Tribolium castaneum: one gene and its partners. Each later gene encodes a partner of the first gene's protein in a complex. Links are inferred from orthologs where the notes say so. Each region holds a gene or a part of one and is shown in the gene's direction. Other genes may lie near its edges.

Region 1 (3,655 bases):
AACACCCCAATATTTACAGACTCAATCTATTCTTGCAATGCTATAAGACGACAGCTTATATCGTTTATTGGTATGTCTATCGAGGAGAATCATCAGTACAACCATCAGTCCTGAATTTGTCTTCGACTCATAATTGCGTTTATTGCTCAAAAACACTCGAAAAAACCATAAGATAAATAAGATAGATAAATAATTAAGATAATTTTAACTTAAGAACGATTAATCATCTTAATTAATTATTAATACCTAGTATCTTATTATTTTAACAAAACAATCTCAAATAAAAATTGAAAATGTTTTGACCAGATTTTCTATTTGTTGATCTTAAAAATAAACTTGGTTACTTCAGAAACGTGTAAAAGCCAAATTTATTCATGTTTTTATCTAATTTTTTACGAAATTTTGTAAAATAATTGTATTTCTAACGGACGAACGTCTGAAAACACACGAAAATAGAAAATAAAAATAACGTAATTTCCAACAAAATTTAGTAATTTTACAAAACAAAACCACTATTTTTGAACAGAATAACGCTCAGAAAAAGCAAATTCGATATCATTTTTGACAACAAAACAAAACAAAAAAATCTGATAACAAAAAAATTGTTTTCTAATATGCCGAGGCGTTGTAAAGAACAAATTTTTACCACATTTGTTTTTTCGATTTTTTTTTAAATAAATTTTCGAACAGAGATCAGCTAGAATCCGGAATGAAGAAAATAACGTCAAATAACTTACATTTTCGATTTAATTTCGTGATTTTTTTAGGCAATTTGAGAAAACTTAAAAACTTGCTTACGTAATCGAAAAAAGCAAACCTAACGACGTTTTCTGCTTAATCTTGTAATTTTGGCTAGAAAGAGTACAAAAATGATTAATCATTTTCTTAGTTTCAATAGTATTTAGCAAAATCTCACAAAAAAACATAGAGAATTCCTATCAAAGACACCTTTTCGGCTAAGTTTTTTTTATTTTTGAAAATCAGTATGAGTTTGTGGCATCTTTTAATCAAAATACGAACTGATATCGAATGAAACAGACGAAAATAAGTTATATCTACCAAAAAGGCAAACTAATTTAATATCATTTTCCACGTGATATAATAAATACATTTTTTTAAAACGAGTCACCCTAAATATCTCAGAAAAATTAGAAAATCCTGATTTTCATTTTCACGGGGACACTTTTTTTTTAAACTTGTAACACCAACTCCCTTTGTAGTACAAACAACTCCTTTAAAATTTTAAATGGCATAGCCCCCTTTATGATACCTCAAATAAAAGGTATTTACACCAGAAATTCGGCTGTGATGTTGCCCTGTCTCGTGATTTTTTAATTTTTTGTTTATTTTCGGAGATATTCAGGGTGGCTCGTTTTTAAAAAATCACACTGTACATCAGTCATATCCTTGCACAGGGAGAATGTTTATTCTGTGTCAAGGTTATTTTTACAACAAAACAACAAAATCAAAACTTGATGGGCTTTCTGTGCAAAAAGTATGTATCCTTATCGTTGTTATAATTAAAGACATCGCAACATTTTTTTGCATACATATAACCTAAAAGAGAACTGACTAACCTTAGTTACTTGTCTTCAAAAACGGCTCGTAGCAGCTCCAGAAATCCGTATCGAACTAATTTTCACTGGTTTTGTCTCAAAACACGCAAAAATCAACCCGCAAACACGAAAAACTTAAAGGAAACGACGCGCATCACATACTAACTAACGCTTGACATCACGTCGCTGCCACTTGATTGGCTGATTCGTCGAAGCGCGCAATTTGAAATTTGCTAGCTGATTTAAAACATGTTATTGTGAATTCCTTTAACAAAAACGAGAACTTAATTAATTTTTGTTGTGGTGGTGGTACAGAAAGTGTAAAAATACCAGTTTTGGTTCTACTTTGTTCATTTTTCGGACAGGATTACATCAACATCAACGGTTTAAAAATCTGGCAAGAGGAAGTGACTCGAATCATCAACTACAACGTGGAGCAGGAATGCAACGGCTTTTTGCGCAACAAAATCCACACTTGGGAAAGCGCTTTCCAGAGCCGTTACGTCCCAATCCCGCTCTACCCAAGCACGGACTCTTCTAGCGAAAATTTCATCGGGCGATTAGCGCGCGAAATAATCAAATTGACCGATCCCAAGTGAGTCAAATTTTCGATTATTGTGCAATTTGCTCCAATTTTTTCCCAGACAGTCCGTTTATCTCGAACAAACATCGACTTGGTACGACATCAAAAGTCACAAACCAATCTTCAACAAAGAAACCATAGCTCTAGTAGCGTCTGCTATCGAAATTTCGGGCTTGGTGGGCCTTGACCGGCTCTTCTCCTTCATGATTATTTCAAATTTGCAAAAATTGTCCGGGTATTTGGAAATGAAAAACGCCAAAACGAACGCATGGCATAACGTTTTGGCGAGTATTCATAAAGATATGATCGGGAGCGAAAATGTGAACAACCCCATCAAGTTTTACCAGAACTGTGTTAATCGAACGACGAAAATTTGGAACGAGTTTCTTGATTGCATTTTGTTGGTCGGACAATTGCAGCTTTTGAGGAACTTAATCGCTTTTCATTTGAATAAATCCTGCAAGTTTAATGCGAAAAATTTAGAATCGTCTCTACGTTCACTCAATAAGTATAATATTTCGATTTTTTTTCACTCTCTTAGGACTTAAATAATTTTTAGGGCTTTGTTACTCGACATTGTGAACGGCGAGTGTGCCCCAAGTGAGGACATCATGTCCAAACTATCGCATTATTTCGATTATTCGGGCCTGAATAATCCCTTCAACAAAATATACATCACGTCAAAGTTTGACGATAATCATTACATTACTATTTTCGTTTTTGCGATTGCACATTTTAGTAAACTTTTTTTTCTACGTCAGTTAGGTAAGACACTTATTTGCTTGCTTAATCGATTTATTAACTTAAAACTTTAGGAAACGCCAACAAACGAAATGCGGATCAAATCGACGGAACCGCATTTACTGTCGCAATCCACACCCTTGTCAAACAATTCCATAATAAATTAAACGAAAGTTTCATCAAATTATTATCCAATTATGTCGTACAGTTGACTAGATATAGCATAAGGTGAGTAACACTTGTCGAGTTTTTTAAGTTTGAAGCATTTTTTCAGTATAAAAAATACCGAATTGCCTTTGGAGGTGTCACTAGCTATGAGTTTTCTGGAAACGTACACCAATTACTCAGAGTCTTCCCGAAAGTGTTTGAAAGAAGAAATTCCCGATGAAATTTTGCATTTACAACAAACTCTAGTCGCCTCTGCTTCCTAGACTGATTATTTAGGGGTCGCATTGTGTGGCGCCATCTGTTATTTTTTTAATAAAATGTAATTTTTCACTAAAAAGTATTACGTTATTTTATGCATTGATTATTTTATTGATGCGTTCCATCACAGAAAAAAACTCTTTTTAAAAATATTAAATTTGATCCATCTTGCCATTAAAAAAATAAGTTAGCCTTGTTTTCCCAGAACAAATGGAGATAGAAATAGAATTTAAATACTTTTAAACATATACCAAATGTCAATCAGTTTTGATGGATAGTTTTTATAATATTTATACTTTTTAGCGACCTGTACATAATGCAAACGACTTTTGAACATGAATTTTGTGAA
Region 2 (4,284 bases), on another chromosome or scaffold:
ATGTTTATTATTTATGTTTCTGTTTTTTTTTTTGCTTTTTTTGTAAGTTAATTCTTCGAAAATCATTTGAAAAAGTTATTTTATCTAGAGCGGTCTTGCTTTTATGTCATAATCTGACATTAAAACTGTCACTGATGTGTCAAATTTCGCGTTACAGCCTACTCTAGGTATATTTTTAGCTCGTTAAAAGTGACACTGACAGTGCTCATGTCTTATATTTGAATTTTTTAACCTTTTTTTAAATTAAAAAGCCGCGATATGTCGCCTATTACGCCCAAAATCGAAATCCCCCATCCATCAATGGGGCTGTGATCGGAATTATTACACAAAGTTATACAATTTTAAGTGTGTTGATGTTCAATTGTTTGGAAAGTTTAAAGGTAGATTGTTAGTGTTTTCTAAAGGCTTTATATCTTTATATCAGCTGAAGTATTAAAGTTTTTTACAAGTAAACAGTCTTTCATTGCGTCATAAGCTGCAGCCAACTGTCACCGGAATTAAGGTACATGAATGTTTTGCATGATTTTTTCTTATAACTTGTTTTGTTTTATTAATTGGTTGAGCTTATGTTGGCTAACAATTGGTTTGTTTAGTAGTTTTGCGTGATTTTAAGTTAATTTGTGATTTGGCCAATTTATTAATGATTTTTTGTTAGGGACGCACCAACCCTTCCTACTCAACATTCCATCCGAAGGCATTAAAGTCGAGCCCAGAGGTAATTTAATTTTATATTTTTCCCCGCTTTAGTGTTTTTTTCTAGATAAGGCGCCTTCGCCGTACGGCGGGCAGATGTTCGAGGCGCCCATCCCGAACGTGTCGCCCCATTACGTGGCCCCCACGCCCCCGGAAGCCCCTCTGTTCCAGAACGTGCTTCCGCCAATCGGAGGCATGATGAACTGGAATATGCCTTCGACTTCAGTAGTCGGCGATATGTTAAACATGAATTGGAATCCTTCCGCCCAAAATGATCTCAGTGGTGTTAATTTAAGTGAAACGCCAAGTGGTATAAGCAGTTTATTAAATCTGGACAATCAACAATTGGAGTTGAAACCGATTGACTTAAACTCGGGTGATTTAAGCATGCTTGAGACAAATAACTTGTCAGAGACTTTCACCCAAAATCTATCGCTTATGGACGAGAGTGAGGGGCGCCAGGAGCCGAATATGACTGATAGTTTAACGCGATTGGCCAATAGCGCGCTAGATAATATTTGCCAAGCTAGTGATATGTACAAGGGTGCTCCATGAAACCACCATTACTTAAGTCTAAGTAATGCAAAAGCGAGTTCAATATTTGACATTAAATATAACAGTACTGTGTACCGCCCTAAATTCAATGATAGTTTTCTTATAAAATTGTTAAGGTTTGTAGTTTAGTCTATATCAAGTTTATTTATACTGTGATTGTTTTTATATTTTACAAGATGCAATGTTATTTTATAAATCTGGCATAATAAATCTGTTTTATTGAGCGTGTTTGCGTTTGTTAATTGCATAAAAAGCGATCCTTTCGCCACAATCTAACCTCAAACGTCACTTTTGACAGCTGTCACTCAGGTTCTTTGTGTCCCTTTGGAGCCAATTAATTCAATAAACTTGTGCCGATGCCTTGATTCCCCCTAATTTTGAGTGTTTTTCACTCAGATAATGTAAATAATGCAAGTGAACGACCTTTCCTCAATTGATCCAAATGTGGATTACACGCAGGTAAGTCTTTGAAAAAAGCGACCCATTCGAGCAACAATCACGTCCAACTTCTCCACTTAGATTTTACCCATTCAACAAAAGCGCACGATTGCTTTTATCAATCATTTCGTAATGAATACGGTGTCGTTTTTAAACCATTTTGCACAGTCGTGTGAATCGCGTTTGATGGAATTCGAGTACAAACTGCAAGAAGTTGAGGCTTCTTTACTTATACTTGAGTCGCAAGTAAGTATTGAACAATGCTAGAATGCCTTAAGTTCCGATTATTTGGCGCAAAAGTGAGTCGGTTGTGTTAGTTAGGTTCAATTGCGCATTTAGAAGAAAACACTGCAAAGGACTCGCCTAAACAAAACGATTTAGATCTGCCTCCTGTTAAAGACGAGGAGACGCAAATTGAAAAAAATGTAGAGGTAGAGCCTGATGTTGCGTCAGACCCGCGATATCAACGCTTTTTCAAAATGTTGCAATTTGGGGTTCCCCCAGCTGCTGTCAAGCTGAAAATGCAAACAGAGGGACTTGACCCTTGCATATTGGAGTAAGTACTACTATCACTGGCGAATCAGCAACACGTCCGTTATTTTTTAGTTCCAAATCAACTGATACGCAAGACAGTTCCTCGGTTAATTAATTGTGTTAAAAAAACATTGTTAAAAGTATAAATAAAACACGTTATGAATTTTTACAAAATGTGTTTATTTAGTCAAACAATTAGAACTGAATCATTTGTCCCTTGCGCTTCTTGTCGCCACCCAATTCAAAGTGCTTGCAGCGTTTCAAGGGAATCTGTTTCCTATATTTACATTCAGTGCATTCCATCCTGAGCACGATTTTCTTGGTGGTTTTAGCCTAAAAACACACAATAGCCCCACACTCAAAGTAGGTAAAAAAATACCTTCTTCCTGAAGATGGGCTTGGTTTGTCCACCGAAACCTTGCTGCTTCCTGTCGTAACGTCTCCTACCTTGCGAAGCGTGACGTTCCTTGGACTTTTTGTATTGGGTGACTTTGTGCAACTTGTGCACCTTGCATTTCTTGCAGAAGGTGCGCCTCTGCTTCGGGACGTTAACCTAAAAACAATGACATAACCCCACAATTCATCAAACGTCCTCAAAACGCGAAAATAAACAGGAATGTGCCCTTCCAAGGACGCCAAATGCACGAATTCGCTAAATTTTCGGTAATTCAAAGGCCGATTATTGCGATTTTTTGAGATATTTGATTGAAAACCTGCTTACCATCTTGGGATTTTCTTTATTGCAAAAAAAAGAGAGAGATGCAACGTGTCACACTATGCGCATGCGTCGTTTACATTGGCGCGAATTTTGAATTGCTATATTGGATGAAAGATAGAAAAGTGTTTCGTTATAAGTTTATAGAGTTTTAATTCGTTTCACGTGGTCGCAAGGAAAAATAGAAGAAAAAGTTTTTAAGACGCATTTTTGCGGCCACAAGGGAAAGGCGTTTTAATTAGTGGGTAACAAGTCGTGCCGAATAGTTCCCTTTTAAATTGAGTCAATAATCGGCTGTTTTTCTGCATAATAATAAAATGAATGTGATTGTGGAGGGAAATTTTTTGAAGAGCGCCCCTGGCGGTGGCATACTCAAACCACGTTTTTAATCTCGGTCCGGTTCGTAAAACTCAATCCGTGCTCTCGGAACCCTCATGAGCAAACACCTTGCAATTAATTTCATAAAATCTGGCGCACGTTTTTTGGGTCCGAGACACCGAAAAAGCTTGGAATTTGTTGTCTTTTGGTTTTTGGCGGTTGGTGTGAATAAATAGTTTAGGGAGTCGAAAGCCGGTCACTCGTCCAAGTCCGGGGCCGATCGGTTTGAGCGGCGCCATCTTAATTTTTGAACAAAGCTAACGAGTAGCCGGTCAGTAGTGTTCAACGTTGGTGAACGTCACTTTTCGATAAAGCGTGAAACCCACACAGGAATATAAACAAAATGAGTTCGAAAGAAAATAACGAAGTTGCTGTCGAAAAAATCGACAACGACAAAAGTGCGCCCGACGCCAAATGCGAGTTAAAAGGCACGAAGCGAGCGGCGGAGGTGAGTTCGACTGTTTCTTTCGCATTTACGCTGCTTTGCGATAAGGTCACATGGCCGTTGGATGTTGTGGTCGGGATTTTCGCGTGGAAAACGCGCGGAAACGCCGTTTTCACGCGTTTTCCGCGGGATGGTTGCCATGTGAACGGGGCTTTTTCCCGGCGCGGAGGCGGCTTTGCGACAATACGATGCTAAATTTGTTGTTGCCATGGTGTTTTCGACTGTTTTTCATTATGGCATGCGGTGTAAACACGCTTGGAAAGCATCCCGCCATATACAATGGACCCCGGGTTGAGGCTAGCATCGCTTGCTCGATTCAATATGGCGAAATCAATAGCAACTTGGAGGCGTCCTCGTGCGAGGCTAGATGCCACACTAATATTTTAATAACATCGGATTCTAGAAAGATTTCCGCGTGCGAGTTGACGATTTCGTTGCAAATTTCACGATAACCCGGAGATTGACCACTTTGGTCCGGTTTTTCAATGCAAAGCGTCTCATAAAGCTCGCTGGAATCAACAGAGTT
Region 3 (3,262 bases), on another chromosome or scaffold:
GTATATGGGCCTAAATAAAGCTGGACCTTTCAAGCCTAACTATTATAGGTAAGCGGGTTTGGCTTGATTGCCGATTATTGATGTTTTCGTTTAAGGTATTAAAAATATAAAGTTTTATCCATAATAAACGGGGTGAAGGAATAAAGGAACACGGTAGCATTAAGTCAATGTTAGTTGTTGCCAGATAGTTTAGCTATAATAAATGCAGGATTGATCATTTTTTAATGGTTGCTCAACCAATTCATGTTTCATAATTTTACTGAATCAAAAGTATTATTACTTAACACAAACAGTATTTTTTCTGCTAGTATTTATTTACATATCTCAGGATTTTATGAAACATTAATTGTGAAAAAATCGTTACGTTGTTTCAACTGTTGATTCATGGGTAAGGCTTCTGATCTTATTTAATTTTAATAAAAATTGGCGCAATGTTGAAACGCCTTCCCGTGAATAAAAATACGTTACTTACATGTTTGAAACAAAACTCGTGCATATGTAATCACTATCAGGTCTAGTATGTCATTGTTTTAGTTGTATTAAGTTACGTACTTAACTCGTTCTGGTTTTATTAATGGATTTAATAAGTGTATCTGATTGATTTTGTGATGAAGTCCAATGGTTTGTTTGTTTTGTCTCATCCCAGACGCTAGTCCAGTTGAATTGATACGCTTTTTATTAAGTAGTGCCAACACCCTCTAGCACTAAAATAATTTAAATGCAACCAGTTTGTTTAGCCGTTTTGACGTTAGTGATTTTGGAAAGTATTATTTTATAATGAGGATTTTTTACGGTCCTCCACATTTTAAATTATTATTGTTATTGTCAATATTACGACAAATTGTTACAAGTTAATTGCTCTACTTGAAGAAATTACTGAAGCAATTATACTCCACAATAACTTGCCTTTATCAACTTACAGCAGAGCAATCAACAACTCTTGTTAAGAAACCGGAATTGCGACTCTGTTTTTGAAGGCTGTTTTAAGGCTTTCAAAGACAGAATTGTCACATTTTTAAACGTACTTCTGTATACAAATTATCTTTAGATCTATATCTTTCTTTCGATATTTTATTTTAATCCACAAATCACATCATTCACAGCGTGACCCACGGGTCCGCCGTCTTCTTCTTTCTATGCCGTAATATAGAAATTAATACGTCAATGTGTTTTATTTTTATTCCTAAAACCTAAAACAATTTTTTGTCCTAACACAATTTGAAATTACTAGTAAATGTTAATTTATTGAGCTTGCGAATGGCGACACTGCTGTGATAAGATGACGTAAAAAACAAAACATAACCTGCAAAAAGTGTAGAGTGTAGTGTCATTTTTTTAATTAATTAATGTAGTTAGTTTATTTAAAATGAATCATGTTTACAAAGTACCTGTAATCCCTCAAAACTTGAATAAACAGGAAACAATCGTTCAGGTGGCTGAAGTATTAAATCATTTAACGAACGTAACAGATGACATATTAAAACATATAAATAACAGAATTGAATCTAGCAGAAAAAAGATATCAAACATATCCGAACGTGTCGATAAAGTGAAAATGAAAATAAACAAATTGAACGGTGCAAAAAAAGCAACACAAGTGTTTTCAAGTTGTAAATACCCAGCGTCCGATGTAAATCAACCCTATATTTCAATATTTAGCGACGTTAAACCTCCTGAATTAGTACGACATAAAGTGAAGCAGAAAAAAGCCCCATCAAACGATGAACATTTAGATAAATTGTACATCTACCACGTGAAACTCAAAAAAAATGAGAACAAAGAGACGTTCGGCGGCTTGGGGGAAATCCCCAAAGACTCGGAATGCGTAAACGACCTACTCCTCTACAATTCCGGCAAAAACCTCTACACGAATTTCGTAATGTCCGACCCTTTGGAAATCTCCCAACAAATCAAAGAACAAGACCACAACGACAGTTCGAGCATCGGGGCAGCCCCCTTCTCAATCAGCGAACGCTCAACCCTGACGCGCTCCTCCACCCAGAACTACTTCTACACCCCCAACTTGGGGGAAGTCCCGGCGCTCGACGTGCCCCTGGATCTGCCCGATTTGCCCAACATTGCCGACGACCTGCGGTACGACACGGAGTTGGGCCCCGGGATCGCCCCCTCAGTCACCACGACCCCGAACATCCCCGACCTGCCCACAATCGAACCCGCCAACCCCCAGCCCAAGGAGGACTTCCCCGAAATCGAACTCCCGCCGCCCCCAACACCCGCCAAAGAAATTGAGGAGCAAGTCCCAGAGAAGGTTGAAACGCCCAAACCGCCCACACCACCCACTGAACAGGTGGAGGAAGCCCCCAAAATCACCGAACTGCCCCAGCTGGACGTGCGGGCCAGCCTCATGGAGGCCATCAGGAAAGCGGGGGGCGCCAAAAATTTGAAAGCCACAAGTGCCGACAGGGAGCAAACGACGGCAAAACCCGTGGTTAGTTTTCGACTTTTGTTGATTGAAAAAGTTTAATAATTAGTTATTTGTTTTACAGACTGGGGGCGACTTGATGGCTGATTTGCACGCCAAGCTTTCCATGCGCAGGAAGGGCATCTCAGGTACTAAAAAGCAGGAAAGTTTGGACGCAAGTAGTGCGTTAGAAAAAATCTCGGCCATGATTCCGCCGCCCATTCGTAGCGAGAGCAACGAGAATAATACCGAAGACGAAGACTGGGATGATTAATTCATTTAATATTATATTTTATATCAATAAATATTATCATGTTACATAATGATTGTTTTCTTTACCCAATAAATTAATACAATTGTGCGCTAACTGTAGCAGGAATAACAAACTGCGACATTATGATCGTATCTAAAAAAAAACATTTAATTTTTTGAGCCACTCGGAACAAAGCCACTCACGTGGGAAATGAGCAATCGTTACAAAACCCATTACTGCATTTATGGCACATATTTGTGCACTGCAAACATAACGCGTGTTCACAATAGTTACAAATGACCCCCGAGGGGGCTTCTTTTGAACATACAGTACACATCAGTGAATGAGGTTCCTACAAATCAAATTAATAAAGTCTCACACCGATTCACATATTCTACCTCATTTTTCTCGCGTTTGGAGGCCCCCTTATATAATAACTGGAGCGTCCGCTCTGAAACAAATAATAAAAAACTGACATAACCTCAATGTGGTTACCTGACGACGATGAGCGAATTTTCCGCGATTTTGATAAACTATTTTGTTGTTTTTTCACCGGTTGTACGATATCGTAATCCGGATAAGGCCGT

The links.
Region 2: Strump (region 1) and CCDC53 share a complex: the UniProt entries of both Drosophila melanogaster proteins name them as parts of the WASH complex. The link is inferred for Tribolium castaneum from reciprocal best matches to the Drosophila melanogaster genes Strump and CCDC53.
Region 3: Strump (region 1) and wash share a complex: the UniProt entries of both Drosophila melanogaster proteins name them as parts of the WASH complex. The link is inferred for Tribolium castaneum from reciprocal best matches to the Drosophila melanogaster genes Strump and wash.

Annotation. Positions count from the first base shown.
Region 1 is NC_087394.1:25,600,800-25,604,454, forward strand, and holds the end of Strump (WASH complex subunit 5), read left to right. Parts: intron 1-1,577; exon of another isoform or gene 1,578-1,718; intron 1,719-1,921; coding exon 1,922-2,151; intron 2,152-2,200; coding exon 2,201-2,647; intron 2,648-2,698; coding exon 2,699-2,904; intron 2,905-2,954; coding exon 2,955-3,108; intron 3,109-3,154; coding exon 3,155-3,311; 3' UTR 3,312-3,385; downstream 3,386-3,655. UniProt on the Drosophila melanogaster protein: Acts at least in part as component of the WASH complex which may regulate wash nucleation-promoting factor (NPF) activity and is required for its membrane targeting during endosomal sorting.
Region 2 is NC_087402.1:711,164-715,447, reverse strand, and holds CCDC53 (WASH complex subunit 3), read left to right. Parts: upstream 1-1,525; 5' UTR 1,526-1,656; coding exon 1,657-1,707; intron 1,708-1,767; coding exon 1,768-1,932; intron 1,933-2,003; coding exon 2,004-2,242; intron 2,243-2,292; coding exon 2,293-2,335; 3' UTR 2,336-2,415; coding exon of another isoform or gene 2,416-2,553; 3' UTR 2,554-2,599; coding exon of another isoform or gene 2,600-2,773; 3' UTR 2,774-2,941; coding exon of another isoform or gene 2,942-2,944; 3' UTR 2,945-3,656; coding exon of another isoform or gene 3,657-3,761; 3' UTR 3,762-3,762; downstream 3,763-4,284. Other genes in the region: RpL36A (large ribosomal subunit protein eL42), read right to left, coding at 2,416-2,553, 2,600-2,773, 2,942-2,944; acidic leucine-rich nuclear phosphoprotein 32 family member B, read left to right, coding at 3,657-3,761. UniProt on the Drosophila melanogaster protein: Acts at least in part as component of the WASH complex which may regulate wash nucleation-promoting factor (NPF) activity and is required for its membrane targeting during endosomal sorting.
Region 3 is NC_087403.1:4,501,393-4,504,654, reverse strand, and holds wash (WASH complex subunit 1), read left to right. Parts: upstream 1-1,265; 5' UTR 1,266-1,366; coding exon 1,367-2,449; intron 2,450-2,507; coding exon 2,508-2,696; 3' UTR 2,697-2,745; downstream 2,746-3,262. Other genes in the region: adenosylhomocysteinase-like 1, read left to right, coding at 1-48, 96-102; uncharacterized protein LOC103314773, read right to left, coding at 2,786-2,828, 2,879-3,027, 3,074-3,126, 3,171-3,262. UniProt on the Drosophila melanogaster protein: Acts as a nucleation-promoting factor by activating the Arp2/3 complex to induce actin polymerization. Participates in both linear- and branched-actin networks.